Linked DNA regions of Nothobranchius furzeri. The protein of the gene in region 6 binds, or shares a complex with, the protein of the main gene of each other region. Links are inferred from orthologs where the notes say so. Each region holds a gene or a part of one and is shown on either strand. Other genes may lie near its edges.

Region 1 (4,644 bases), about 22 Mb from region 6:
AAATACAAAATAAATAAATCTGAAACTCTAAAAATGATGGTTAGTGTTTTTAACGGCCATAACATTAAAAAGCTGTAACACTCTGGGTCAACAAAATAAAATAAATGTGTTTCTTATGAACATGAACAATAATACTGGGTCTCTTCTTTTTAAAATAGATCAAAGTGAAGCCATTATTTCAGTAAAACTTCTTAAACTCAAAGAGTCGGTATCTCTTAGAGACCAATCCTTGTGATTTTAGTAGAAGTCTGAATGATTTCCTTCAGCATAAATGCAGGCAGATCTGAAGCTCCTACTGGAAGCAAGAGTGAAGTGAGTGCGAGCGTGCCGACCTGCAGGGCTGCTGTGGACTCTTCACTGGGCAGAGAGTCGATCAGTACATCTACATCTTTGGCTGTTCTGGCAATAAGAGCGGCAAATAGCCGTGCATATTCTAGAGGAGAGGGAAAACACACATGAGGGAATGCAATGAGCGTTAGTGCCATTGCTGCAACTAAACAAGTAGGTACAGTCGACATAATAGTTCCAAATGACAAGAAAAGTCTAAATATTCCCCCCAGAATAAAGGCTACATCCCAAGAATGAGTCAATATGTCGAGACAAACGTCAACAGTATTTTAAAAATTCAAGATTACAGTCATAATGTCGATGACAAAGTCAGCTTGTTTCTTCCAGGATGAAGAAAAAAAAGTTTAAAGGTTAAGAATCAACACTTAACTATTTCTAGAACATTGAGAAAAGACAAGAGACAAAAGTAGAAACCATCTTTAAATAGTGGGGAACAAATTCTAAACATCTATAATTACGTCTAAATACTGAGGAAAAATATTACAATTTAATTTGAAAAATATCAAAATATAACTTCCAAAAAAGAAAACAAACCCTGTTGTGCCCCTGAATCAGACTGCATTTGTTCCAGTTTTATCATCATTGTAACCGACGGTTACAGGAATGTTTTACCCAGTAAACTATTCAATAAAATAACTATTTGGTTAAAGGGACGTTATGGAAGTTTGACAGCCAAAACATGTATAGAAATAATAAATTTCTTCTTCATACATTCTCCTGCAATGCCCTGGTCCTGTAGAATGAGCCCTGGCATTTTTACTGTGATTGCCTGTTTTTCTGTAAAATCACAGAAAAAGAGAGCTGCTCGGGTCGAGCAGGCTGCTTCATCCGTGTTCACGCTCAGGCATAGCCCTCCAAACTGTTCTTTGAACGTTGTTTCAGCTGTCATCAAGGATATAAATGTTACAGACACAAGGAACGTCACTGGCGCTTTAGCTCGCCTTGTAAGACGACGGACTTTCGTGCAGAAGACTCGAGTTCGAATCTGGATGTACATTACATTAATGGTATATTTTTTTGCAGTAAGATGCCCAAATTTTTATTTGACACTTGCCGAACGGCATTGAATTCACAGATAAAAAAGATGTGGGTTCAACTTTCATTTTGGAACAATTTTTCAAGCAAGGGAAGGGAATGATCTGAGCATGCAGGAGGACTGACCCATCTTAAACCTTTGTCGGCTGTGCTGAAGAGAAAGGTACAGAACCAAATTATTTAATTAGCTGCACCTTCTCCTGTCCTCTGTCCTCCGGGCCACACACACAAGGGACTGTCTCAGCTGTTATTTTCGTAAAGGAGTGTGCACGTACAGCATGCGCGCCTCGTGCACGAGCCTACTATTGAAGCTGCCATTACACTTTTGGCCTGAGGGGGCAATCGCTAGCATAAAAATTCAAAACTCCGTAAAGTCCCTTTAAATATCAGGTTTTAACTCCTTTTGTTAAAGCAGAACTCGGAGATCTTCAGTCTTTCACAATAAGGGTCTTCAGCAAACACGTCCCTTTAGTTAAAAGGGAACAACACTTCCTGTAACAAAATAAATCCCTTCTGGATTTAACAAGGCAAATAGGTTGTATAACCTCAAGATGGCAATTCCACAATTCATCAGGATCAAACCATGAAAGAGATCAGGGCATATCGATGCAGACCCAATGAGCACCAATGACAATCTTTGCGATGACAATTGTTAAAACTGTTTGATTGTTCAACATCTCTACAGGATCCTCATTAAAAAATGAATGCAACTCAGGATGGGAATAATTCTTTTGACATTGCAGAAGCAATCAAAGTGAAGGGCAGTCCAACTAAATATTACAAAGTGACACTTTTGGGGATGGGCAGGGTACAGTTGAGATTCAGTTCTTCAGGCTATTTTGGAAATGGTAACACTTTTTTTCCTAGACGTTTTGACAATTTTCTTTAAAATTTCAACATTTTTCTTGACGTTTTAACTTTATCCTGGAAATAGTATTTCACTTGTTGACTAGCATTTTTACTTTTATACAATTAAACCCCGAAACCCCTTTTTGAAACAATTTATTAAATTGTGGCTTCTTCGAATAGGAAAATAAATAACCCATGAGAGTTTGGTAGTGATTTTTCCACCAGGCATGTGAGCATGTTTGGCCTGCCAGACTCGTCCTCTGTTTAATTCTACACAGAGAACTAATGCTTCCCATAAGGATGCATGACTGGTCAGGCTAGCTGAATGTGGGAGAAAAGAGATTTAAATAAAGATTTTGCTTTGAAGTTACAAACCTTCGGCTGAATTTCCTGGCTGATCCTTGTTGATTGCTGTCTGAATATTACTGAAGGAAGCAGGTGGAGCACATTGTTGCAGAACACCGATGGCATCACAGAACTGATCAGCCAGCTGTTCACACGCAACAAAACAAACACGGGTTTTAAAACTCCGGACATTTGTTTAAAAGAATATAGAATAGATAAACAGCCAGTATAGTCTGATAGTTGCATTACCAGTTAAACCAAGCCATGTTCATTGGTTAAAACATAAAAGCTGTGATAAATTGTGTAAATTAACTAAACCTTAGACTCGCAAGTTAGCGATTAGCTACATTTAAAAGACTGAAACGATAATTCTGCAAATATTTCTTATCTAAATCCATTTGTTGTAATTGTGTAAGATAAAAAAATAACTATTGACGTAGAAAATAATTATATTTCGGGATATTTCAATAGTTTTGCTTACAGAATTGACAGCGTCTTGAAGTTGCGTTAGCCTATCCGCCATGTTGCCGTAAATAAAATAAAAAACTCCCCAACGTGACCCTCGCGAGAGTTTAACGTCTCGCGGAAATAAACAAGAGGCTTCGAGTTAGCTGAAGCGATGGCTGTGACCGTCCCACGGCTGGTTTTTTGTAATGTGGATAGGTTTTAAATCGACTTTTTCATGACTAGCGATATTTACTCTCGTGCTTTAAGGAAATGGGAACGCGCCAAAGCATCTAATCCGGAGTAAACGTCAGCTTTTAGCCAGTGTTAGCCACCAAACAACAACAGGAAGTAAAGAAGCTAACTCAACCCAAGTGGTTTTGTACTTTGAACTCTTCAGGTATGACCACACATTTGTCAGTTTTGCTGCCTTTTGTGGACCTTACAAGTTTAGTTATAGCAGCCGGTTGGTGTTATGAACTCCTCGGTAGTTTATATTTGATTAATGAAGTGTTGTGGTGATAAATTGTGTCAGTAAATGCAAAATATGTTAAGTAATAAAACTCTTATTAGAGTAAAATGACCTATCAATGCATTATTGGCTGTAAACTAGCGTGCTATCACCTACGAGGAGGCTTAAGGTTCAAGCTAGGTTCTTTAGCTTTAGAAACGTTTATTCATGGCTCATTTCGATCGTTCTGGTGAATTATTATTATTTTACAGAGTGTGGTGAAGTGAAAGTTCATGTATTTTCGTGTGGCTGTCTGTAAAAAGATTCTGAACAACTAATATAGAAGTAGACAGATCTTTGAATGAGCTGAGTTTGAAGAAATAAAGATTAGTACTTACTGGACTGATTTGTTTGCATGTATTCGTAGTGTATTGCATTAATTATATTTATTTTCAATAAATTGATACCAACAAGTCAGAGCTGTTGAATAATCAAAAATAAGTTGTTTTTATGCTTCTGTATTTCCTTAGGTATGAATTGTAGTTTAGAGAAGGTCTTGGCAGATGCCAAATCATTAGTGGAAAGGCTTCGTAACCACGACAATGCCGCTGAGATGCTAATTGAACAGACAACATCTCTCAACAAGAGAGTGGAGGCTATAAAAACGGTATGTGATTTTTTTTTTTCCTATTTTATGTGCTGTTGGGTACTAGCTTAGTGCCACCAGGGGTCACATTTTACTAATTCTATAACTGAACACTCTATAATGCAAAAGAAGAAAGTAAAGTGCATTCCAAAGAATGATGGAATATTTTAACCGTAGCGTTGACTGCTGTTTAGTTTACAGGACATAACTACTGAGGGCGAAGCTTTTTATTGATTCGTTATTTATTTATTTTTTCACATTTGACAGTACCAGGAAGAGATTGATGCACTGAACCAGGTTGCGCGACATCGGCCTCGTTCCAGTCTGGTTCTGGGAATCCAACAAGAGAACCGTCAGATCAGAGAACTCCAGCAGGAAAACAAAGGTAGTCTTTCAGTGTTAATACTCATGGTGATTGCTTCCTGTTCGGTACAATACATTCCTTTACTTTTGTCAAATCACACTGCTTACAAACACTGAAATGTTTTTGGGCAGAAAAAATGTTTTTTACAAATATCCAGAGACA
Region 2 (4,596 bases), on a different chromosome or scaffold from region 6:
TTATTTCTGTGTTTTTATTTAATGTTTTACGTTTTCTTGTGGCGCTAACCTACATGGATTAGACTCTCTTATGAAACCCAGAATTAGCTCAGTAAATCAGGCTGACCTCTATTGTCACACCCTCTGTTTGTGAGAACAGTTACATTATGTAATCATCAGAGTGACACCATCTTGTCATAGAAAACAAACAAACAAACAAAAAATGTTCTCCACAAACACATCAGGGACACATTTGGGAAGTTGGGGACAGTGTCTCCACCGTGTCCTCCCCTCCAGCCTCACATCAGAGACATGTAATCCCACACTTTGGTCATGTGAGAACAAACTTGGCCAAACAGAAAGGCTAGTCTCTGTTGAGCGCTTCCGACCGCCATTACATTACAATGCGTGGTGGGCTGGACGATCGTGCGCAAAAAGGAAAAAAAAAAGAGGCTTCAGCGCTTCGCGTAAAACACACACACACACACACACACACACACACACACACACACACACACACACGCATTCACACCGATTCACACTGAGGGTGGCACATCCAGGCTGCGCGCACGCCCATCTAGCCGTGTAATAACGCACTCTTGTCTGACAGATAAACAATGAGGAAGGAGTCGCTGCGGTTGAGGAAATCATGCACATGCTGGAGGATTTAAACCAACAACGACCCGACCGCTTCTCGAGAGGCAGGAGCACGCGATTCGGCCGAAGCAGTCTGCAGAATGCAACATTCGCCTTGTGTTGGGATCGGCGCCAGACGAGGACGGTCACTTTTGCTTGAAGGGGAAGAAAAAACCCAGAAAACCTGTCTGATATTTTTTTCTGCAACACTGAGGCTTTTGTGGCCGTGAGAGAGGAGGTTTCGTAAGCTGAAAGGAAGGAAGGATTTTTTCAAACCTCCATCTACAGCCTGTTTTGTCGTTTTCCTGCTCGGTGGAGTGTTAGACTTTTTTCGTCTTGCCTTTGACTCATGATTCGGGGTTATTTATTGCTGGAAACCCGCTCGAGTTTCATTTTTTTGTCCACGGAGGGGAGCAGCGTGAGGAAGGAGGAGGAGGCGGAGGAAGGGGGGAAGGTTGTGTTTCTTTTTTAGCGGATCGTCTGCGGCGCGTTTGATTCAGGAGCAACAGAGGGATTAAATATTCCTGCTCGCATGCAGCAGCAGCGCCTGTTTGTGTGAGCCAGACTGGCTTACATTGTGTGAGAGAGGAGCGGTTGTGGCAAGAAAGGCGGCTATAAATAGCGCTCGAAAACTATCACAAATGGTGCATCAGCTTTGTGGAGCACACGGAATCACGTTTCCTGCGTGAAATAACCATCGTTTCCAACTTTGACGCTTATTTCACCCCCATTTTTTGAGGATTTGTGGATTTTTGCCTTTTGGATTATTTGGAAACTGATCACATTCCTTGTGTGTGTTTATGTGTGTGTGTGTGGATTGAAATGGATACTGTTTTGTTGATCAGATTTGGAATGACCTGGATTGGACCAATGTTGTGATCCCCTCTCATCACACTCACGCGCTCGGATTTATCAACATTTATTATCTTATATGTATTTTTGAAGAAAAAAAATTGGATTTAATGGATGCATCGCTGTACACATCTCTCTGAATACGCCCATTCCCGAGTCTTTTATCTTGAAGCCTGACTCTTAAGGGAACCCATCTGTCACCCCTGCTCGGTGTTGAGATACCGATGTAGGATTTCGACATGCCCTGCGCTGGCGACCCCAAAGGCGGACGATTATGACTGCAACGGCGAATTGGGTGGCTAACGGGGCAAGCCTTGAGGACTGCCATTCCAACATCTTCTCTCTGGTACGGTATGAATAAATCATGCTCAGCAGCTATAGACAAGTCATAAGACCCATGGGAGGCACGCTTAAATGTGTGTCTGCTGTACAAAGGTGAACCAATTGCTGATGTTGTTATTAGACAATCATTAACATGGGTTAGTGGTGTGGGAGACCAAAATAAAGCCACTATTACCACTAAACCTGCGGATCAACAATAGCTGCTATTTATATTTATCTTTTCCCAAATGCTCTAGTTTAGCAGCTACAAGAAGATAATTTATTGCCAAATGTCCACGCGTTTGTGAAATAGGATAACAATGCATGCTTCATTTTGCCAACTGGAAAATCGTGTCTAAAGAAAAGAAACAAAGATTTGCATCAACAAGGCACACGACGGAAGCAGCCCTTTCACAGAATCAGAGAAAAAAACACGTTTTTCACACTACATGCGGTGTCATTTTTGCACAACTCATCGCTTTTGAGGTTGAAGGAGGCAGAGCAGTGTGTTTTCACAGTTTTCCTCCTGCAATCAGCGAGTTAACTGTCTTACCACAACAGGCAGCCAAGTGGAAAGGCATGCACTGAGCTCAGGCAAGCAGGGCTGCTGAGAACCACAACAACATAGGGGTCCTGAGGGCTTTTCAGGTGATCCTGCAGGTTGTGGACCATGTTACGCCAATCGCCGCCACAAATTGTGGCACAGGGGGCTTGAGAAAGCTCCTATGAATGTTTCATTCTAGTCTCCAAGGTGAACGAGCGAGAAGAAATAGATCTTGTGTGGTTTCCCGTGCACTGACACATGCTCTCCGGTATCAGACATCTTAAATTTTCTCAGCTTGACAACAACAGAAAACAGTGATTGTGTCTCTGTCACCATCTCATCTGAGGCTATTCCCTCGTGGAAAAAAGCTTTCATTCACTCACCGAGGCTTTATTGGCCATCATGAACATCCCTTTCAAACTGAGGGTGAAAGAGACCATCCATCAGCTGGCTTGTTGAGAATATTTATGACTGGCAAGTGCTTCGGCGGTCTAACTGGCAGGGTTCCTGCAGGGTAGTCCAAATAAGCAATGACACACACACACACACACACACACACACACACACACACACACACACACACACACACACACACACACACACACACACACACACACACACACACACACACACACACACACACAATTCCTGTAAAAATGAAACAGAGATAAAGACACTAACGTGCTCATTTAAAATGCATTTGGATGTGGAAATAGGGCTGGGTTCAACGGTTAAAGAGGATTTTCTGTTAAAAGTGAGTTTATTTAAAACAGAAGCAGCTCACACCTTAGTTTTTAAACTACGATTCTCATTTCAGTCCTGTTCCTAAGTGCAGAGATAGTCTGACGTCCTACAGACGCGCTCTGGACTGACGGACTCTGCACTTCCATGCGACGTTGACTGTTTGCAAGGAAAAACTTCTCAAGGCTACTAATAAAACAGCACAGAGCACATGGCTAATTGGCATCTTTGCTGTTCTAATGTGGTTTGATATGGTTTAGCTCCTAATTCCTCTTTTCACTAGGAGAAAACTAGAAGATAATTGCATTTGTAACATAATTTCCCTCGTTAGATCATGGACACTTGTTAGAGACATTACAATCTTTATATTCTCATCATTATGGCAGTTTTTTAAATTAAAAACAAAAAAACGCTGATGGTTTTGACATTTTATTTGGGTTAGTAATTAAAAAGAGCCGCAGAATAGAAATATTTTGGATTCTAACAAACCATTAGTTGATAGGGACATATGTTAATAGGCTAATTTCTTGGGTTTGAGCTTAATAAATGATAAGAAGACAGGCTCCATGGTGGGAAATTTCCTAACCTTTTCCTGTGAGTAACAAAGGTTGTGTTGTTATAGATAAAGGTCTTCAGGCTAGCTGTTGAGCGCTCTCCTCTGACAGCCTGTTTAACAGCATTCAAGCATGCACGGACCTTGTTCCTCTCATTTGCTCACTGTTATTGCAACTCACAACAGCAAAACACACAAACAAAAACAGCTTATTAGAAAGCATAAGTGCTCATACTGTGGGACTTTAAAGGGACATGGCAGATTACTGTCGTGCACTCTGCGTGGCCAGCGTCGGATACTTGGGATGGCTGCAATCGCAGTACCCACAAAACAACTGTCTCCTGCGCTGGCGACCAACCATCTGTGACAGAAAGCAAACTAGACCCTTGTAAGTGTGAGTGTGTGCATGTGTGTGTGTAGGGGGTGCAAAAAAAGCAGAGCTGGCATGATGAAGGAGGGGGGAAAGGGCACAGAATGAGAGGAGAAACAGAGTGAGGCTTTTCAGCAGAGAAGGACTGCAGCAGAATCTGTTTTCATTTTAGGAACGTATTATGACTGATGTACATTTCCTGACTGCAAGCCTCAGCCTATTTGAGAGAAACTGAGAGTGAAAGAGTGAGCCAGAGCACGGAGGAGGAGGGGAGGGGGAATTAAGGAGGGAGAGCGTAATGAGAGAGGGGAAGGGAAGACAGACATCTTTCTGTGGACTGCGTAGGTTCCTTTAACAGTGACTCCCTGCCTGATTATGAAAGGCAAGGAGGAGACAGTTAAAGGCCTCTCAACACAGGAAGCCTCTGTGTGTGTGTGTGTGTGTGTTTATACTGAGCACACTGTAAACCACGCAGACTCGGGAGACAAACTTCAAACACCGACCACATTGTACTCACATACACACACACGCACGTACACACACACACGTACACACACACACACACACACACACACACACACACACACACACACACACACA
Region 3 (3,213 bases), on a different chromosome or scaffold from region 6:
TCCCGGAAACGCTCAAAGTTTCTTTGGTGTGTTGTTACTGTGTCTAGTTTCTAATAACATTTTGGTTCTTTTTAAAACACAGAAACCTTTCCTGTGTTTTAAAAAGAACCAAAAACGCTCAGTTTTTTATTTCAATTCCTAGATCCTGACCGGAAGAGGAATTCGCAGCTGACCTCCGTGAAAAACAAACGTGATCTGCAAATTCTGATCGGCACTTTTCAGAGCTGAACACACCAGCTGTCTGTCGCCTGCAGAGCTTTCTCTCTGGTGGACCACACCGGGTTATGCCCACTGTAGCCCACAGGGATAATAATATAAAAATAAAAAATGTCACAACACACAGTTGTGACATTTTTTATTTCCTTTTTGAACTATTTAATCTGGTGTGAGTTTTAATGTTTAAATCTGTTAGATTGTTACTGACAGCAGCTACATTCAAGCTTCACTTTTTGTTCTGACTGAATGCTGCTGCAGCACGGAGGTGTCGACTCAGTCATCCTGGACATGATCATCCTGATGGTTTCAGTTATAAACAGCTGGACTTTTCTGGTTATGTTGGAGACATTTAGCCTCTCATCCCAGAAGCTTCTTCAGTTCCCACACTTTGGTTGTGGTCAGAAACAAACACACTTATAACATGTTTTTGTCTAAATGAAAGTGACCGTTACAGAAAGCAATCAAAAAAGAACAAGAAAAACCCATAAGAGTCATGTAGGATCTGAGCTGAGTTAGCCTAATCCAGACGGGAGGAGATGAGTGTAGAAGGATGGATTTTAACACTGTAATGCAGCAAAAATGGGGGGAAAAACAAGAACTCACAGTTGCAATGGTTTGTGTTTATCAGGGAAAGATGAATAAAATGCTCTTTAAATACACGTTTCACTGAATTTTGGGGAAACTTCCTTTAGATTCTTAATAAATTCCAACCAGCAGCTGAAGCACTTTTCCTTTGATCAAACATCAATAGGGCAGATCCATATAACCTATAAAGTATTATTTTCCTAATATCCAGAGGTGGATCTGTGTTAGCTGTGTAAAGTTTCACCACATCGATGCATAAACAAGACCTGGAAAGATGCATTTCAAATATATGAAACCACGGGACAACCGTCTCACCATTAGTCTTGGGCCCGACCGATATATCGACCTGCTGATATTATCGGCCGATATTGGGGTCATTAACAGTATCGGCTATCGGCTAAAAAGTCGGCTGATATGGCTGATATTGCGCTACCTACCCAGCAGATGGCGCCAGCTTTATGAATAAGTTTTGTGAATACTTCACCAAGTTAACTTCCACAGAGTGTTACTTTGTTACGAAGCACAAGTATTACGTTTTATTTATTGCTGCATTTTTATTATTTTAATATTCTTATAGGGATCTTCTGTCCCTAAACTTGTGTGTTGTTAGATTCCCCAGAGTTAACCAAGTCAGAAAAAACATGTTGTAACCAGTTGTTTTAGCATAAAGCAATGGAAGGGAAGGCTTGCATTCACCTACATAAAAACACTACAATGTGTGTGAATTCACTTACATTGTTTTATGCTAAACACGCAGACACACGGAACAGATCATATTGGGCTGTTATAAAATGCTTTTTCTGACTTGTCTAACTCTGGGGAATCTTAACAAGACACAACTTTACTGAGTGATGGAATGTTCCTTTAAGTTAAAATGTATTAGTGGAAACCACAGTTTACAAGAAAAACTTGAATGTTAGATTTATGCTGTGACTGAGTTTGTGTGTTCTGTTGTTTTTGAGATCTGCTAAATAAATCTTATTTGCATTACTTGGAACCCCTAGTGAGTTATGGAGACAGTTCTTTGGTGTGTAATAGAGAAATAAGTTTGCATCAAAAAGACAGAGAATGAAGGGTTTAAGCTTAAGAACATTTTTATTTCTTTTTTTTGTGGGGGAGATAAATCGGCCATTATATCGGCTATCGGCCTTTGTTAAAAGTTTTATATCGTATCGGTCCCAAAAAAAGCATATCGGTCGGGCCCTAATTACGTCCTCATCAGATTCAGTACATCCTTCTGTTTTGTCTCCCAGATGTCCTGACACCTCACTACCCATGGCAATCTTCAGACGTCTCTGTTGGGATGCTGCCTCCTCACCATGGTAATGACTTCGGCTTGGAGCCCCCCGGTCACAACAAGGAGAACGAGGATGATGTGGAGGCCATGTCCACCGACTCATCCAGCAGCAGCAGTGATTCAGACTAAAAGTGTGTGTGTGTGTGTGTGTGTGTGTGTGTGTGTGTGTGTGTGTGTGTGTGTGTGTGTGTGTGTGCTCAGTGATCACATGGTTAAATCTGGTGTAAACATGAACATACTCAGCTTTGTAAATAAACATCTTTTGAATAGATCATGAGTGTATTCTTTATATTTTTATACATGTGTATATAACGTAAGATGATGTGTTTCATATAAAAGCTAGCTAAGATGCAAGTTAAAGTATTGATATGCACAAACGCCTAACTGGTTTGAACAGGTTTTATCTTAGATGAAATGTGACTGACTGGAATGGTTTTTCAGATCGACCACACCCAGTCAAACCAGTTTCATTTTGAGAATGTGTTCATTCACCTTTTTGTTCCTTTTGGACAATAGCGTATTTTTGTTTTTGTGAAGTCTTTTTTCTGACACATTATTGTAAATATTGATGTAAAATGCAGAATTCACATGGGGATAACACCACTAATGCACGTTAGCGCCTAAAATGCATCCAGAGGATGGATAACATGTACAGGTACTTCTAAAAAAATTAGCATGTTGTGATAAAGTTCATTATTTTCTGTAATGTACTGATAAACATTAGACTTTCATATTAGATTCATTACACACAACTGAAGTAGTTCAAGCCTTTTATTGTTTCTAATATTGATGATTTTGGCATACAGCTCATGAAAACCCAAAATTCCTATCTCAAAAAAATAGCACGTTTCATCCGACCAATAAAAGAAAAGTGTTTTTAATACAAAAAATTCAACCTTCAAATAATTATGTTCAGTTATGCACTCAATACTTGGTCGGGAATGCCCACATCACTGCAGATGCAGCACCAATCTGCCTGTCAGTCTCTCGAACCATCGTTCCCTCACTTGTAAACATTACTCCAAGATACTTAAACTCCTCCACTTGGGGCAGGTCCTCATCCATGGCCCCGGAGAAGGAATTCTATCCGTTTCTGATTCAACTCCATGGTCTCG
Region 4 (4,521 bases), on a different chromosome or scaffold from region 6:
TTATTACTATAACATTTTCGTGAATTTCTAGTTAGTGTTCAGCTTTTTTGTGTGTATGATGTTGGCGTAAGCAGAACCGTACACATTCAGTTGGTTGTGAAAGGTGGCTATTTTTAGATTAGCACATTAGCTGGTTAAGCTAGTGGGAGCTTGAGCCATGGGGAAGGGCAAGTTTAATGGCTACTGGATGGATAATCCCACGTTCGCGACGTGGTTGGCACCGGTTCCAGGCAATAGCCGGAAATTATAGCTTAGATTTGGTCAAAGTGGCCTTAAAAAGGTCTTAAAAAGTCTTAAATTTGGCACCCTTAAACCTGCAGATACCCTGGGAAAAGAACAAAGTAGGTGAGATCATTTTTAACAGGAGAACACATTTCAACATAACACAAACAACTGTATAACTTACCTTACCGACACCCCGGTAGACCTCGGTCACCCTAGGGTCCAGCTGGGGCATTGGAACCCCTGATACCTCAGACATCACTGTTCCCACCTCGGTTTGCTTCTCTGTGATCTTCTCCATGATAATATCAGCTAAGGTCCGCCTGTGATGGTCACAAAGAGGAAAACAGCTGAGTATACGAACATAAACTTAACCTCAAAGTGGACTTTAGCAAATTCCAACAGCTAGAATTCAAACAAAGTTGTGAGAAATCTTGCCTCATTGGAGGGTTTTTATTCATGAACATCTCAATGGCCTTCTCATCATCAGAATCAACGATGACTTCAGTATCACCCTCCACATCACCATCCCCAGCACCTGCTTCTCCCAGAACTGGCCAATCTTCATCTGAGTCAGCATCCTGGGACTCAGGGCCTAAAATAAACAGGTCAGACAACATTAGAAAATATTATTCATGCATTCAGCAAAGACTTATTTCACCTAAATAGTTCTGAGAAGATCACGCTGGGAACTATTTTTCTCTGTGATCGTCTGACATTTTGTCCACATAAAAAACATTCGTCATTAGTTTTATTTTTGCAGAGAAATAAAGGGATGTTGCATAAGTAACACCGTATAACTAATTACAAAAACACTTTCGTGGTTTCTACGCTTGATAAACCAGACTTAATTAAAAAAAATACTGCCAATTTAAGGTCCGAAACCCTCCATCATACCGAGAACAGTGACTGGTGCTTTCCTCTGCTCAGGTGCCAGGCCATACTCGGTCTGCAACTCCTCTTGTTGAATCCGGGCCTGTTGTAAGATTTTCCTTGACAGACGTTCATCCACGTAGGTGTCCTCACTTTCGACCCGGGCGTCTCGATTCTTCACCCGGCCTCGGGCTCGGATCGTGTCCGCCTGGAGGATCTGGTCGGCCAGTGGCACCGCTCCTCCTCCGCCACTCTTCTCTCCTCCACCGCCACCTTTAGCTCTTTTCACTTTCGGCATCTTTCAAGAGTGACTCAAGCTGCGACGACGCTGTCCGTGTTTTGTTTTACCATTAGAGACACAAACAACGCGGAGAAAGAATTCTGTAAACAGTCTGTATTCTACACGTGCAGATTACCGTACGGCGGAAGTGACGATATACGTAACGTCTGTGCACTGAAAAACATATATATAACATACCATTTTATATGATGTTGATTTTATATGTTTGTATGTAACATACATTTATGCAATATGATTATAAAGTTTCTTGAGTTTGTTTTTTAATTTTCTGAAACAAGGTCGTTTACGTGCACCGGAAGTGTAAATGTTAATCCGGAAGTAATTGCTTCACGAGTGTTTTTTGCAGGCGAGAAATCAATGGGTGTTACTTGGTAAGCAGATTTACTTATGTTGTAGTTAAATGCTAACTGTAATAATATTTTTGTAATATATTTTATCACGCTGTGCATATGATTTCGTTTGGCATGTGTAGCTAACTCGGTGAATGTAGCCTTTATTTGCTTCCAAACCGTTTTACACTGAATAGAATAGTGTTTATTGTCGTTGTACGGTGTACAGCGAAATTAGAGTGCCACTCTCTTTAGTGCAAAATGGAAAACTATACAAAAAATAATACAGAAATAATATAAATGTAAAATGAACAGTAATATATATATTAGTTGGGTTCAGTAAGCAGAATTTTAGCATATTGAGTAAACAGAAATAGGACATTCAAATGTTATTGCACATGATCAATTTTGAACAGGTTGCTTCACGGTGTTGTGTTGTTCTTGTGCTGTGCAGTGTTTGCCAGGTGCCCGTGGCGGAGGGGAAGAGTGTCCAACAGACAGTGGACATTCTGCATAAGAAGCTGGAGCAGCTTGGAGCTGTGAAGCAGGGCAACTTCTGTGTAGACTGTGAAACATATCAATCAACAGTAAACGCTGGCGGTAATTTTCAGCTATTAACCATATAAATATTATCATTCCTGTTGTTTAGGTGCTTTAGATGGATAGTCTTCTGCATTGCTATTAATACAACTTGCTGCAGGGGAATTTGTCATATTTCTTTGATTAAATTCTGCTTTTTGAAAATGTTCTAATAATTATGTCAAATATTTGACTTAAACTCAATTGTCCAGGATATGTGTGCCTTGTGACAAATATATTGTCAAGCTATGTAATTTTCATTTTTACTGATCTTATTTCTCTGTAAGGTTAACAAAAACAGTCATCCATTGGGTAAAAATAGCCAGATTAAAATACAGTTGGTGTGTTTTAGAAAGGTTTTCTGTAAATCTTCATTACTATGTTATGCAAGGTTAAATGAGCCACGTTTCCACTGTATCTTTCCCCAGAAGTCAGGAACATTTAAAAAGCCCCATCCACTGCAAGAATCCGCTTAAATTTGTTTAAATGGGACAGCAGTAGCTCAGGAGGTAGAGCGGGTTGTCCAGAAGGTTGCAGGTTCGATCCCGGCTCAGACCAAAGAATTCTGCTGTTGTGTCCTTGGGCAAGACACTTAACCTGCCTTGCCTGCTGGTGGTTGTCAGAGGGGCCGATGGCACCAGTGCTCAGCAGCCTCGCCTTTGTCAGTGCGCCTCAGGGCATCTGTAGTGACATCATAGCTCATTCCCACCAGCGTGTGAATGTGTGTGTGTGAGTGACTGTGTTGTGAAGTGCTTTGGGGGGATGTAGAACCCTGTGAAGGTGCTATACAAACACAGGCCATTTACATTAAGCTCCTTGAAAAATAGTTTTTATTTTTATGTTTTATAAACATCCGCAACCCGGGGTCTATAAACGTTTGATTTGGCATTTATCTTTCTAAGTTACTACTAGTCTTTTTTTTCCAGGTTTCCACCAATGAGTCCATTAGCAGAGCAGTAAATCATGATCTAATTTAGCTCAAGTGTCCTCCAGAAAAAAAGGTGTCTGCTCTCGCATCCCTCATAAGCAACATTTATATAAACAGGACATGGTATGATTCTACTACTTACTTGTGTAATTTTAAACTTAATAAGCATGCTGCTCTAATCTGTGTCCAAAAATAAAAAAATCATGCAAAGTCATTATGCAAAAATTGCATTGTTACATTTTGCTGTTCTTCATGCAATTTCTCACTTTAAGTCTGGGTTTGTTACAGGTCAGCCCTCCAAGCTCCTTTATGTAATGCACAACTCTGAATTTCCCCTGAGCTGCTTGGCTCTGTTTGAAGGAGGACCCTGTTTGGTAGCGGACACAAACTTTGACGTCCTCATGGTGAAGCTGAAGACCCATTTCCAGAATGCCAAGGGACACAAGGTGGAGTGTCGCGGTTCGAGATATCGCTACTGTGACTTCTTGATTAAAGTTGGCACGGTCACAATGAGTTCCAGTGTTCGAGGGATATCAGTGGAGGTGACAGTTTGGTATTATCAGTTAGACCAGAGGCCCATTGTTCTCTTTTTTGACAGGATTAACCCTTGATGTGTTTTCCTCAGGTGGAGTACTGTCCCTGTGTGGTTCCAGGGGACTGCTGGAACCTCATGAAGGAGTTCATGCTGTCTTTTCTTGGCAACAATGTTCCTGAGCTTCCCACTGTATTTGCTGCCAAGCCTGAGGGTCTTTTTGCACCAGCAGACTCTGTCGACACCATGACTCAGTACCTGGAGTTGTTCAACAAGCTACGGAAGTTACAAATCACAGGAAGCAATGTGCACTAATAACATTTTTTAATGATTGTATTGATGTGTGTTAAATGTGGTCCTATGGAAACCGTATGATTTGTATAGTTCTATTTTTGTAACTTCAGTTTTGTATTTGTTTACCCTGATACAGTTAAAAGGAATACAGCTACAATCTATAGATGCAAATGCTCAACACAGACAAAAATAAAGACAAAAATCTACCTATTTCTGCAAGAAGTAAAAATTCCTTACACTCGGTGGGGAAATGTTGGTGTCACAGCAGCAATCATTCACATCAGGAGCAAAGAAGAACAAAATCCTGTAACATATGCAAGAAATTCTTAAAACATTCAATCGAATAAAAAAAATCTGTGCAGATAGACGAAGTTTATAATGAGGAGTGATGGCATGAAAGGAGAAATGTGTAAATAGGGACCTGGGATTACTCTCCGTGCACCAATGGATGCAGCATTCTGCC
Region 5 (4,033 bases), on a different chromosome or scaffold from region 6:
TTTTTTTTAAACGAATATCCGCCCCTCCAAAAACTTGCATCCACACCACCTCGTTTTAAAAAAAACTCTGTCCACACGTACCCGGATAAATACGTTGATAAGGACATGCCAGACCTGTAGGCGGCAGTACTTCCCCCGTTCTTAACCTCGTCCTTCGTCTGTGGTCTTCCACAAGGAGCAGTAATTCCACTTGCAAAAACAAACAAGCAGAAAGCGCTTGGACAATTGATAAAGCGAGCGCAGCTCTGAGGGCTTCCATGCTGTCGGCTAGTGTAAACACAGGTCGCACACGTGATGTCAGCATTTTTTTGTCGCGGAAAGTGACGTTGCGGACCTTAAAACTCCAGTTTTGTCTGTCCACACGCAGACACCCAAAACGGAGAAAACGCAGATCTTCACTTTGGCCGGAGTTTTTAAAAAGATCCGTTTTCGTGTGAAAAAACTCCGTTTTCGTGTGGACGACAGGCCAAAACGTAGAAAAATATCTACGTTTTGGCAGATCCCCGGCTACGTGTGGACAGGGCCTTAAGAAGATAGCGGACTTGGGTGACTGGAATTACCCACAATGCATTGCTGCAGGAGAAAAGGCTCAAGTGCCTTTTCTGAAAAGATGTACTTTCAAACAAAAGTAGTTAATTCAAGGATGACTAATTAATGCTCTGAATGTTTTAGACGGAGCAGCAATGAATATAAATTAATTCAAATAATTGTTTGGTTGTTTGTTATTAAAGTTTTATTTTTATTTCTTTTTAACCAGCATCCCGGCATGCGTTGTGGTCGATGAGGCAATTATTTGCACCTCTCTCAAGCATGCTCAGGTTAAACCGCTGCTAAAAAAACCATCACTTCCTCCAAATCATGTGGAGAACTACCAACCTCTCTCTCTCCTCCCTTTTCTGTCCAAAATCATTGAAAGGGTGGCTTTCAAGCAGATCACAGAATACCTCTCACAAAACTGTCTGCTTGACCCTTACCAATCTGGGTTCAAAAAGGGCCACTCCACTGAAACTGCTCTGTTAGCAGTGACTGAATCCTTAAAAGATGCTAGAGTGACTGCCAAACCCTCAGTGCTTATCCTGCTCGACTTATCGGCTGCATTAGACACTGTCAGCCATGACTTCCTTTTGTCCACACTCTCTAGCATGGGCATCACAGAGAAAGCACACGCCTGGTTTGAATCGTACCTCACAGGACGATCATTCAGTGTATCTTGACTTGGACAATCTTCTAACGTGCACCATCTTGCCACAGGAGTCCCCCAGGGCTCTGTACTAGGGCCTCTTCTCTTTGTTATATACACCACCTCACTGAGTGAGATCATTCCATCACATGGCTTCTCCTACCACTGGTATGCAGACGACACCCAGCTCTATCTGTCATTTCCGCCGGACGACCACACTGTCTCTGCACGAATATCAAACTGTCTCTCTGACATATCAAAATGGATGAAATCCCACCATCTCCAACTCAACCACTCTAAAACTGAACTACTTGTCATCCCAGCAAAACCATCCATACAGCACAATATCTCAATCCAGAATGACTTCCTATCTCTGGCTCCTTCAAAGGCAGTTCGAAATCTGGGTGTTGTGATTGATGAACACCTGACCTTTAAAGATCATGTTGCCTCTGTTGCTCGTTCATGCCGCTTTGCGCTGTATAACATACGAAAGATCAGACCATACCTAACACAACATGCCGCCCAGCTCCTGGTGCAATCTACTGTCATCTCCCGCCTCGATTACTGCAACGCCCTTCTAACTGGTCTTCCAGGCTGTACTGTGAGACCTCTTCAAATGGTCCAGAACGCAGCGGCGCGTCTGGTCTTCAGTCAGCCAAAAAGAGCACACGTCACCCCTCTGTTCATTGAGCTCCACTGGCTACCGCTAGCAGCCCGCATCAAATTCAAATTGCTAACACTAGCATACAAAGCCTGAGACGGTACGGCTCCCATCTACCTGAATCCTCTTGCAAAGGCTTACGTCTCGGCCCGGCCGCTCCGGTCATCACAGGATCGTCGACTAGCAGTGCCTACACCACGCTCAGGACAATCCAGACTCTTCTCATGCATCGTTCCACAAATGTGGAATGACCTTCCAAGCACTACCAGAACAGGGGCTTCCTTTTCAGTTTTCAAGAAACTCCTGAAGACCCTGCTCTTCAGAGAGCATCTTCTTAACTAGCACCTTGTCTGCACCCGTCCCCCCTCTCTACTGTCCACTCCTTGTTCCCTCCTCTCCATGATTCATCATGCTGCCTCACTGCCACCTACGACTGACTGGAAATTGGTTGTTGTTAGCCTCAAGGGCAACATGCTGATTATCACTTGTAAGTCGCTTTGGACAAAAGCGTCTGCTAAATACATAAACATCAACACTTGTGTACCACACACTCAACGCCTTACTGTGCACATCCTCCTAGTGCCCTTCACAGTGTCTGTAGGGCGCAGTGTGAGTTTTGGGATGGAGCTTTAAAGGTCTGTGGTTGGTTTTCTGTTGTTTATCTCAGCTGCGGAGGCGTCACGGGTAATGACAACATTTTTTACTAGTTTTACTAGCAACTGGAAATCTGCACATCTTATTTTGAAATTTGCCAGATGTGTTCTACTGCTCCCATGTCTGACTTCATGTTTGGCCTGATTTGAACGTGTAAAGGAAGTGCAAAAAAATAAAAAACAGAACATAAACTTTAGCAGAGCGGCGCTACAACACGCCTCTGGGACGTCCGACACACGCCGCTGTTCGCCGACTACAACGGTGGCTAGGCTACTAGCTGCATTGCATTTTGCAGATGTCGGTGTCTCTTGGTGGAAAGTTAAGACTCAAAACTTTAATCAGACACAAGTGATCCAATATGCTTCCGGCCTTTAACGTTTTCTTAACGGAGATCAAATAAAAACTGCAGGAAAAATCCTTCACTTACATGATTCATTCTGTAAGGGAACTCCTTTGGGAAGGCATAAGAAAATCTTGTTTTCACTGTCAAAGAAAGAAAGCGTGAAGCTAAAGCCGTTGCTCAGCATAAATGTTATTTTACTTTTATTTTGTAGGATTTCTGGCTGTCACTTACAAACAGATGTTGCTGCAGAGATCAGCCTGGTGTTGGACACAACTCCAAATTCCTGAAGGAAAATAATTAAGGTTTGCTAGCTCAGGAAAACAATAAGATATCAAAAGGAGCAAAATCCAGTCAAGATTTCTTCATTTAACAAGGTCGCTAACTTACAAAAGTAAAAAAAAATAAAATCCCCCTGAAATTTGCTTACCTCTACTTTAGAAGCCAGGAAAACGCAAGTCGGAGCCATGAGCACCGGGTCTATACTCTTCAGAGAATACCTACACACAAAACCGTTTCAGTACTCCTGCTGTAAAAGTAGGATTTATGGAGAAAGTCTTCACACACAAATAACGGAGCTTTTATTTTGGAAACATTTCCATGAACATTGATCCGCTAAGCCATTCTTAGTCTTGTACCGCAGCCCAGACATCTTCCAATCTTTTCCCACAGCGGTTGTAGGAACCAAGAGAGTGGTACTTTTCCTGGCAACAGTAAACTTGTTAAATTCTGGTGCCGGTGTCGGTACAGGATCTGCTCGGGGTCCTTCGACTGCAAATGACGTCAAAGTACGGCAAACCCACTCGGACAAAATCACTACGCATCTAAACTGTTGGAAAGAATTTAGCAGTTTCGTTATTAAATTAATGTTTATTAAGACGTAAGTTTGTGTTTATAATGGTATTTGTAAAATAAAACACTATATTGTATTCATGATGTTGAACTCCTCTTTGAGCACATCCCTTGAAGGATCATAGGTATTAGCAACACCTGTGAAATTGTATTTGCAGGAAAGAAGTGTGTCCCGTTTATTGAAGTATTTTGTGTTTAGAGTTTTTGACGTCTTGTCCATGCGTAGTTCAGTTACGCTCATAGCTGCTAGCCAAAACTCTGGAGTTAAAAGTTTTCTGGCTTTACTAAAATACCTGTCTGTACTTATTTGATTGATGGTAGTTTTACTTTCTATTAGACTCCAAAT
Region 6 (3,946 bases):
ACTGCTACCTGGGTTCATGTATATTCACCTCATGAGTTACCTTTGAACTGCAGTTCTAAAAGATCTACTGACCGCAAAAACAGCGGAGCGCTCGCTGTTTGGCGGCCGTATCAGTGATCAGTGCGTCGGAGGACAAGGTGATGCGGGCAGCGCCCCGCTCCACAGCATGCAGCGAAACGCATCAGGCGCAAATAAAAGACAGAAAACATTAAAGGAAATGAACCGACATGAACGATCGCGTGTTAAATTAGTTTTTGAGGTGGCGACACCTGATTGTTACTGTGGCCGTGCTCAGGAGGCAGATCTACCGACCGCGAAAACAGCGGAGCGCTCCCTGCTTGGAGGCCGCATCAGTGATCTGTGCGTCGGAGGACAAGGTGAAGCGCCCCGCTCCACAGCAGCGATACACATCAAGCGCAAATAAAAGACAGAAAACATTAAAGGAAATGAACCGACATGAACGATCGCGTGTCAGTACCTACGGTCTGGCACAGCGCGTTGCCCCCCCCCCCCCCCCCCCCCCCCCCCCGAGCGCAGGAGCTTGTCACCTGCTGACAGCAGGCTGCTGTCTTTTCCGAGGGCTGCACCTTGCCGGTCATTATCACGTGACAGCGACAGGCATAAAAAGTCACTATAGTGAAGTTGACTAGTTCATACACCCCCTACTGCTGCTCTCCAGAGTGTTCTGCAGCATAATCAGCACGTTCTCTTTGAACTTGATAGTGTAATGACCTGGCTGGGGTTGTAAGCCAGGTGCATTCTGGGTATTGTGTTATATGTGTTTCCTATCGTTCTGCTAGTTCCTATGTGCTGATTTGCGTGTTGTGTGAGTGTTATGTAAGCCACAGGGAAGGTGATGTGTGTTCTGTGGAGCGGGTTGAATTAGCATGGTTAACTGACACCGTGACTCTGTGTGGTAGGAGCGTGATAGAGGATCGTGTCTGTAGCGTTACAAAGCGTTGAAGAAAAAGCCTAATAAAGGTCTGTGTGAACCTCTATTGGCTCCTGCTGGTTGATTTGGGGACTATAACCCTGCCGCTGGGATGCTTGTACTTGCTTGTTACCACATTCCACCCGGCCACAATAAGAGACCGGCCATTATTCACCTCCGCTGACTCCGACACCGGCCAAAATTGGAGACCCGGCCTTTAATTGAATACCGGCCTGTATTAGAGGATTTACGGTAATAACGTAAATTCAGCTTTAATAATTTTCATTCTATACAAAATCTGCTGATTTTAGAAGCATTAATGTCAGTATATCGGTATTGGCAAATATCGGTTATTGGCCATAACAGTGATCTTAATATCGGATATCGGTACATCACTAAATTTTTGTTTTTATTTTGAACTAAGAAAAACTAATTAGAACTGGACTTTTATGGATTATACTGGACAATTAAGTTTTTTTATTGAATAAATAAATGTCCAACCATTAGGGTCATTTAAAATTCTACTATATTTTGCAGACCAGAGGACAACTAAAGGCTTTTATGAGTCATACTTACCATGGGCTGCTGAGGGGGCAGTGGCTGCATGTTCAGACCCTGGTTCTGTGTTTGACCTGGAGGAGCCACGGCTGAAACCTGCTGCTGCTGTTGCTGCTGCTGCTGTGAAACCTGCTGCTGAGGAGGAACCTGCTGTTGCTGAACCTGCTGCTGCTGCTGCTGTTGCTGCTGAGCTTGAGCCTGCTGCTGCTGCAGAAGGACAAAAGTATTACAGCAAGAGAAACTAACTTCAGTAAAGTTATGTCTAAATTCATCGGCTTCTCACTCTAATGCCCTTCAGAGCCCCCACTGAAAAAAAGGTAAAGCTTCCAAAGAACGTCTCAGTTCACTGAATGCACCAGCTTGCTTCTCTAAGGTTTTAAGGTTTATTTTCTCTTTTTCAGTTCTTTGAAATGTAGTGATAATGTATACGTAACAGAAAAAAGTTAGCCTTTCAGATGAAGCAAAGTTTTCCTTGTCACTGCTTTTTCTTTTTGTTATTAAAACGACAACAACCTTAGCCTAGAAATGTAGAGAGACCGTAGCAGGAGCAAAAGTCTCTGCAGGTCAGTCTAGCCACACTCCACTAGGTCCTCAGCAGGCCTGAGCAGTCTCGCAAGGGCTGCCAAGTTTTCCATGCATGAGAAGGGTATGGGGTGCCTCGTGTCACCTCACTCCGCTGCACCACAGTTGGATGTTGGACATTTGACAGATATACACTCATAGTTCACCACAGTTAGCCGGAGATTTTCATGCCGTGTGCTGCACCAGAGAGAGACAGCGGTCAGCTGTGTTCCGGGGACTTGCTCATGAAAGCGGTGGTCCGCTTAGGGACCGTCAACAGTTTCTAGTCTTAATTAAATTATTGAAAATCAATTCCATGTTGTCTTACTGAACTAGACCAACGAGGCACAATAGTTAGAAACATATTTCATACAATCTGACCTTTTTTTTATAAGTAAAACTTTTTTGTCAATAGCTTACAGGTAAATTGATTAAAATACTCCAACCTAATTCCCAACGGTGTTACTAAGCTAGACCAATCCCACAACAACAGCCTTTAACACATTTCATACAGTCCTGTACATTTTTTATAGATTTTTATGAAAAATTAAGTGATTTTCTTCAAAAACCTCCAGGTAAATTAAAACATTACTCAAAACTAATTAAGTATTTTTTACTTTGCTAAACCAATGAGACACAACAGTTTTTAACATGTTTAATTGAAAGAGATCCTTTTTATTAATGTTTTTATGGCGATTTCTGTATTTTGCTTCAATAGTGAGCCTAAGTCACGCCCATCTTCTTCCGGACCATGGGTCCCCGGAAGAACGAAAAATTGACTGCAAGTCAGTGGGACTAAATTTGTTATTTTCTAATGGAGGCAAAAGTTATTTTAGGTTTTGTGTGAAAATACATCCAGGACTACAAATGCACATCGCCAATTGACGTAATCAAATCAGACATGGAGAAATGATGAGGAAAAGTGGCTGTAAAATCAGCCAACTTCAAATCCTTCCATCAGGAGGAAAGAACCACCATGAAACTGGCCATTTGGTCAGTAGAAGCTACGCTAGGGGAGAGGAGATTCTATGGTGACATCATATATGTGACTTGCCGATGTCTGATTTGTAGTCATTGTAATTACAAATTGCTTTTCATTTAAATTGAAGTACAACAGAAGACGTGCTGGAACCAGACAGCAGCGCCAGCTCAATTTTTTTCTTAGTTCCAACAGGGCGGCCAGACAAGCTGAAATTGCATGTGGAATATGCTGGCCACAGGAGGCGATAGGGCCTGGGTGGCCTTTCATTAATCCTGTAAAGGTTCGTTTCAACACATACTGGCTCAAGAAAATCATTTAAAAATATGAAAGAGTAGCAAAGTATTCCTTTAAAAGTATCATGTTTCTTATTTAATCTGGATCCTTATCTAAGGCCAGGGTGCCTTTATGCTCCTGTTCATTAAAGGTGCATGAAGAAAGAATGACATTCAGTGGTCAAATGTGGGTACTGCAGTCTGTATTAAAACAAATGAGTCTGCTCTGAGCAAACATTTCCAGTTACAACTCAGCACCAGAAGAGTCTTGATGACGAGCAAAGACGAGTCATACACAGTAAACTGATGAGTAAATTAATTTCACTGTAGTATCGAGTTTTTGCTAATTGAAAAAAGTAGCTTTAGATATTTTTACATCCGACTGTGTCCTTTTAATTCACTGTTGGCATTGTTAGCTCAGCTTTAGCCATTAGCCTTCTTTATCCTATTGAAGCAAAAAGATGCCGAGGCTTCTTAGGGGTACAAGAAATAACTTCTGGGCTGCTTCCTTTAATGGCCAACATACCTTCCACAACTCTGGAGCGTTTTGTCAGCCAGTGTTGAATTACAAAAGCCAGTGCTGCAGTGTCAGATCAGCACAGAATTGGCAACCCCACAGGCTCAAAGAATGTGAAAAGTGAC
Region 7 (4,683 bases), on a different chromosome or scaffold from region 6:
AAGCGATAATCGCGGGTCTCCCTCCTACCAAGCCAAACGCGAAAAACGTGCGTGTGAAATTTTGCGCTCGTACACGTGTCGTGCACAGGCGACCCAGCGAAGCGATCCAAGAAAATTGAAACATTTTCAACTTTTCATCGCTGTCGCGGACGAGAACCAATCAACGGAGGTTTCATTCACTGACCAAAGAGCGGACAGGATACTCCGTAAACTCCTCCGAGCAAACATGGAGGAGAAGTTGATTATGTTTTATATAGTAAAATCACAAGTAAGATTTCACATAACTCTAACAGTAACTTGTGAAACATCATATCTATCGCTTTATTAACTCTGAACAGATTAAATAACCTTAATTCCCTCCAACCTGACACAGCCAAGCAAAACAACGCAAGTTTAGATTTCGCCATGAAACAGAACGCGTAGACGACTTTGGCGCTGGCCGCCTCCCGTGTGTCAGGTAATAAAAGCGACAGCAACAAATTTCGCTGATCGCGGTCGTTTGTCGCCTCCCGTGTGTCGAGCCCATTAAGTGACAGTGTGATGTAGATCTGTGTGGATTTTCCAATCCTAGAGTTTCACCGTCTATTTTATATCAGAAGCTAATGCAGGAGATAGGTGTAGGAGACTGTTGTCATGTTCAGCCAGCATGAAAAACTCAGAATGACCAATTATAATCAGAAATAATGATTAAAGAAATTTTTTTTGTGTTCCACATGAAATTTCATAATCCTAGTTCTAATTTGACTAAACTAAGAAAAGTATTACGACAAACTATTATGACAAATTCTTTTCAGCAAATCAAAATCGAAATGCTCGTTTACATTTGTTCTCTCATCTTTTTAAAGTCGTCAAAAAGCTGCAAAGCCACAGAGAGCCCTTCAGCAATCAGGCTGCAGCTCTCTGCTCCACCCCCCATAAACCTGGCAGAAAGAAAAGTAAATTACAATCATGTTTTCAATTAAAAAATGGATATTAAGCATTAAGAACTTTGCAGCTATTCCCAAAGCATTACTGGATTTTGTCGATCCATGAGACAAACTCAAAGGCAGAACTAGTTGGTGCGTGACACTGGACGTAGGATTCAGGAGCGCACTCAACCGTGTTAAACACCACAAGGCCGTACTGGGTTCCTCCATACTATAAAAACAGAGAACAGAGGGTCTTTTTGGTTTTTGAACAACAATACCTCCCAAACTCACAGCAAAAACAATATAAAAATACCACTCACATCTCCACCAAAATCTGTTTCTGCTGGAGGCCCTCCGTTGAAATATCTATGACGGATAAAATAAACAAAAATATTATTCCATAACTAACCAAAAGCAGACACAGACTAACAGCCTTTACCTTTAAGGAATTCTTACTCAATTGCTGGAAGTATATAGTTTTTCCTTAAGGATTCAAAGTACGGTCCGAGGTTGGCTGTTCCTTCGATGACGAACACCACATCAGCCACCTGGTTGAAACCAGGTTTACTGGAAGGCTCCATGAACGCTGATCTGGACATTAAGATGATCTCATCATGGAATGAACCAAATTATTAAGGCTTTTGAAGAAATCTAAACAAATTCCAGCAACTTGATAGAATACAGAGCTGAACCATACATGTGTACACTTTAATAATTAAATGGGGAAAGTAGTGGGATGCTAACGTTCCAAGTCCAACTTCATTTCCTCATATTTTGCTTTCAAGCAGCCAAACTTTCTTGTTTTCTTAAGACTTTGGCTTCTTTTCTGCTACGTTTCTGTCCGGCATAGGACCATAACAGAAGAATGATTTTTATTTGGTTTGCCCTGAACCGGTACAAGACATTAACAGAACATAGAAAACAAACTAAATCTGTTTTGGCTTGCTGTTACATGCGGCTTCTTTTGTGTTTTTACCTAAGAAAAACACCAAAAATAACAGTCAGACAAAAAGTGTTATTTCAACACCAACAAGGTGGTTCCCAAAGAGGTAGGAGCTATAAAGATGTGATACGGCATAGAACTGTTCTGTACATAGCAAATATATGGTCAGTAAAGCAAAGATCTGCTTGAATCTCAATAATAACCTGCTATATACATGTTTTAATTTCTGCTACTGTGCAGCTCTCATACAGTAAATGATCATCCGAGGGACCTTCCACATGTACGGATTTCGATATTTTTATAGAGGGATGACTTTCAGAAACTGTTCCTCCACTGGAGATCTGACACTTCTCTTCATCTTCCACTTGATGGTATTCCTTACTTTTTCATGCATGTTAGACAAAACACTGTTATGATCAAGAGCATAAACTGGATACAAACGACTAAAAAGCAACAAAAGTACAGGAAAAACTTCTAAAAGAAAACCAAACAACCTGAAGAAGGGAAAGACGATTTCAGAAGATAAGAAAAAGGGTTGGGTATTAAGTTATTATAAATAACCTTATATTTCGCACAATCGTATGAGGGATTATCTGTGAAGCTTCTAACATCAAGTCTAGGTGGAAAAAACAGAGAAACCGCTTTCTATTTAGTACAGTCATCCTGCAAAATGGACTTTGAATCCCATAGTTATTTCCACATAAGAGACAGCCTGCTGTTTTTACATATAGGCGGCTAAGTGTATAAAACATCCTGTAGTGTCTAAAGTAAACACTGCAGGGTTAAGAAAAGCCCCACTCTGGAAATAAGAAAAGTTATGATTTAACGTAAATCCTACAGCAGATTAGAACTTTGTTCATCTTAGCTGAACGCTAGAGTCAGGTGTGAATAAGACCTGCTCATCATCACGAAGACACAACATGAACATCATTATTAGCATTAGCAAGAAAAGTGCGATTTTTACCAAAAGTTCCAACAAGCTTCACATAGAATCTGGTCAGCAGCAGATAAGAACTGACCTGATGGTGTTCTGCGACCAGCGGAGGCTTTAAATGAGAAACAAAACGAACCTAAACCAAATATAAACACAACAGAGCAGCTAACATCACCGTGTTTAGGTAATTTTCTACGGAAGTGACGCCACGACCCTCGACCGCCACTAAAAACATCTTCTTCGCCATTTTCGTTCTGCAGACAGGAGGCTGAACAGCGCGGTGCTGCCCCCTTCTGTTCTAAGTAATTATCACCAAACCTCATTCACACAGATTCTTTTCAGGAGAGAAAACATGTGTCCTAAATGTAATACCTTTTCATTTTGATTTTACCTATTACTTTGTAAAATGTTTACACAACTATAGTTTTGTTTGTGGCTTCATTTTAGACTGAAACTGCTCTTTCATGAGAAAAGAGCCCAGTTCTGCAGAAAGACCACTGATGGTGGTGAGATCAAAGTCCCAGAACAACTCAAAGTTATTTTATGAACGTATTACCATTCTCACACCCAGTTTATGATTATTTTCAAATGTAGTAAACTCAATGTGTGTGTGTATGTATGTGTGTGTGTGTGTGTGTGTGTGTGTGTGTGTGTGTGTGTGTGTGTGTGTGTGTGTGTGTGTGTGTATGTGTGTGTGTATGGGTGTGTATAACATGAAAAGCTCCTTGGTGGCAAGGATCTGAATGGAGAGGAGATCCACCTGGAGTTTTTTAAGCCTCTGGAGCCTCATTTATCAAGCTTGCTTATAACACGGGGTCAGAAAACTGCGTAAGCAACTTTCCATGCAAACTTTGGGATTTATAAAAGAAAATTTAGCAGAAAAATGTGAGCAACTTTAAGTTGGATAAGGACCTGGCTTACACAAATGTTGGACATGGAGAGCACCTGCAGTGCTGCTGCTGAGCAGGATACAATTATGAAATCCTGCAGCATTATCACTTGTACTGCTTCGTTTTCACACAGAACAAGAACCCCCCCACACACATACACGCGAGCGCACACATACACGCGCGCACACCCACACACACACGCGCGTGCGCACACACACACAAAAACACACACACACACAGCTTGAAGCGCAGAATACGGAATGCAGAACATCAGCAGGGGGACAGATTGAGACAGAATGTCATGCGTCTGTGACAGTGTGTGTCCTGTCACTGTGACCCAATTGATGATGTGCCCTGGCTACTTAGGCAAGGGAGATCTCTGTTTTGCTGACTGGTTAGCGTGCGTGACTTTCACCCGGGAGTCTGGGGATCGAATCCCAATTGGACCATTTTTTTTTATATCTGCCCCATTTCTCTCTGAAGAACTCACAACATTGACGGCTTCAGCAACGCTGTGCCACTCCATGGATTTCCTCTTATTTGTTTTGCAAAAGCGCTTTCTTTCATTTCTCCACCTCACCCACAGGTACCTCAGTTTCTGCTTCTGTGAAATAGCACTTCTTTGATCTGCCTTGATCTACGGTCGCCATCGTCATTGGCGGAGCGCTGCAACAGCCGGCTTATGTACATGCATAAGATCCACAAGGCACTTTGCACTGACTATTTATGGCAGTAAGTGGGTGTGGTGAGGGCGGGATGTGACTAAAATGCAGCTGAGAAACTTTCTCGTTAGTCTCCAATTTATGAAGCGGAGATTGCGTGCAGCTGTGCGTACTCCATGTTTGATAGATCACAAACCTTCTTGGCGTAAGTACAGTTTTTTTGCTGAGCTTAAGTACGGTTTTAGTAAGGATTCTACACAATGTTTGATAAATGAGACCCCTGGATGTTCTGGGGCCTTGTTGGTTGATGCAGCTCTGCAATGTCATGTCAGGGGCAGTTCCACTG

What was found.
Region 1: med12 (region 6) and med21 share a complex: the UniProt entries of both Homo sapiens proteins name them as parts of the mediator complex. The link is inferred for Nothobranchius furzeri from reciprocal best matches to the Homo sapiens genes MED12 and MED21.
Region 2: med12 (region 6) and mediator of RNA polymerase II transcription subunit 13-like share a complex: the UniProt entries of both Homo sapiens proteins name them as parts of the mediator complex. The link is inferred for Nothobranchius furzeri from reciprocal best matches to the Homo sapiens genes MED12 and MED13L.
Region 3: med12 (region 6) and med4 share a complex: the UniProt entries of both Homo sapiens proteins name them as parts of the mediator complex. The link is inferred for Nothobranchius furzeri from reciprocal best matches to the Homo sapiens genes MED12 and MED4.
Region 4: med12 (region 6) and med20 share a complex: the UniProt entries of both Homo sapiens proteins name them as parts of the mediator complex. The link is inferred for Nothobranchius furzeri from reciprocal best matches to the Homo sapiens genes MED12 and MED20.
Region 5: the proteins of med12 (region 6) and ccnc are in contact, whole or in part, in a cryo-EM structure (PDB 8TQC), measured with the Homo sapiens proteins. The link is inferred for Nothobranchius furzeri from reciprocal best matches to the Homo sapiens genes MED12 and CCNC. Residues at the interface, in NP_005111.2 of Homo sapiens: Ile6, Leu7, Ser8, Tyr9, Glu10, Pro13, Leu14, Lys15, Arg18, Leu19, Pro22, Asp23, Val24, Tyr25, Asn47, Pro49, Ala50, Val51, Asp54, Glu55, His56, Gly57, Ser58, Ala59, Lys60, Phe64, Pro66, Ile69, Asn72, Phe73; in NP_005181.2 of Homo sapiens: Gly3, Asn4, Phe5, Trp6, Gln7, Tyr11, Ile15, Asp17, Gln19, Asp20, Lys23, Gln49, Glu53, Leu57, Arg58, Gln59, Ile62, Tyr153, Arg157, Pro158, Gln161, Tyr162, Asp165, Leu173, Pro174, Trp177, Arg178, Ile179, Asn181, Asp182.
Region 7: med12 (region 6) and med25 share a complex: the UniProt entries of both Homo sapiens proteins name them as parts of the mediator complex. The link is inferred for Nothobranchius furzeri from reciprocal best matches to the Homo sapiens genes MED12 and MED25.

The regions. Positions count from the first base shown.
Region 1 is NC_091741.1:59,846,740-59,851,383, reverse strand, and holds the start of med21 (mediator of RNA polymerase II transcription subunit 21), read right to left. Parts: upstream 3,151-4,644; 5' UTR 3,101-3,150; coding exon 3,059-3,100; intron 2,723-3,058; coding exon 2,608-2,722; intron 434-2,607; coding exon 333-433; intron 1-332. Other genes in the region: fgfr1op2 (FGFR1 oncogene partner 2 homolog), read left to right, coding at 4,005-4,139, 4,386-4,503. UniProt on the Homo sapiens protein: Component of the Mediator complex, a coactivator involved in the regulated transcription of nearly all RNA polymerase II-dependent genes.
Region 2 is NC_091746.1:54,299,213-54,303,808, reverse strand, and holds the start of mediator of RNA polymerase II transcription subunit 13-like, read left to right. Parts: upstream 1-1,548; 5' UTR 1,549-1,741; coding exon 1,742-1,813; intron 1,814-4,596. UniProt on the Homo sapiens protein: Component of the Mediator complex, a coactivator involved in the regulated transcription of nearly all RNA polymerase II-dependent genes.
Region 3 is NC_091754.1:35,372,852-35,376,064, forward strand, and holds the end of med4 (mediator of RNA polymerase II transcription subunit 4), read left to right. Parts: intron 1-2,054; coding exon 2,055-2,227; 3' UTR 2,228-2,369; downstream 2,370-3,213. UniProt on the Homo sapiens protein: Component of the Mediator complex, a coactivator involved in the regulated transcription of nearly all RNA polymerase II-dependent genes.
Region 4 is NC_091743.1:46,651,064-46,655,584, forward strand, and holds med20 (mediator of RNA polymerase II transcription subunit 20), read left to right. Parts: upstream 1-1,661; 5' UTR 1,662-1,753; coding exon 1,754-1,767; intron 1,768-2,179; coding exon 2,180-2,325; intron 2,326-3,520; coding exon 3,521-3,774; intron 3,775-3,857; coding exon 3,858-4,079; 3' UTR 4,080-4,268; downstream 4,269-4,521. Other genes in the region: bysl (bystin), read right to left, coding at 407-545, 661-817, 1,120-1,393. UniProt on the Homo sapiens protein: Component of the Mediator complex, a coactivator involved in the regulated transcription of nearly all RNA polymerase II-dependent genes.
Region 5 is NC_091742.1:26,782,102-26,786,134, reverse strand, and holds part of ccnc (cyclin-C), read right to left. Parts: intron 3,336-4,033; coding exon 3,266-3,335; intron 3,122-3,265; coding exon 3,070-3,121; intron 2,979-3,069; coding exon 2,923-2,978; intron 1-2,922. UniProt on the Homo sapiens protein: Component of the Mediator complex, a coactivator involved in regulated gene transcription of nearly all RNA polymerase II-dependent genes.
Region 6 is NC_091741.1:82,329,859-82,333,804, reverse strand, and holds part of med12 (mediator of RNA polymerase II transcription subunit 12), read right to left. Parts: intron 1,697-3,946; coding exon 1,508-1,696; intron 1-1,507. UniProt on the Homo sapiens protein: Component of the Mediator complex, a coactivator involved in the regulated transcription of nearly all RNA polymerase II-dependent genes.
Region 7 is NC_091745.1:8,284,038-8,288,720, forward strand, and holds the start of med25 (mediator of RNA polymerase II transcription subunit 25), read right to left. Parts: upstream 2,997-4,683; 5' UTR 2,871-2,996; intron 2,837-2,870; exon of another isoform or gene 2,816-2,836; intron 1,500-2,815; 5' UTR 1,490-1,499; coding exon 1,365-1,489; exon of another isoform or gene 1,348-1,364; intron 1,275-1,347; coding exon 1,229-1,274; intron 1,138-1,228; coding exon 1,013-1,137; intron 921-1,012; coding exon 822-920; intron 1-821. UniProt on the Homo sapiens protein: Component of the Mediator complex, a coactivator involved in the regulated transcription of nearly all RNA polymerase II-dependent genes.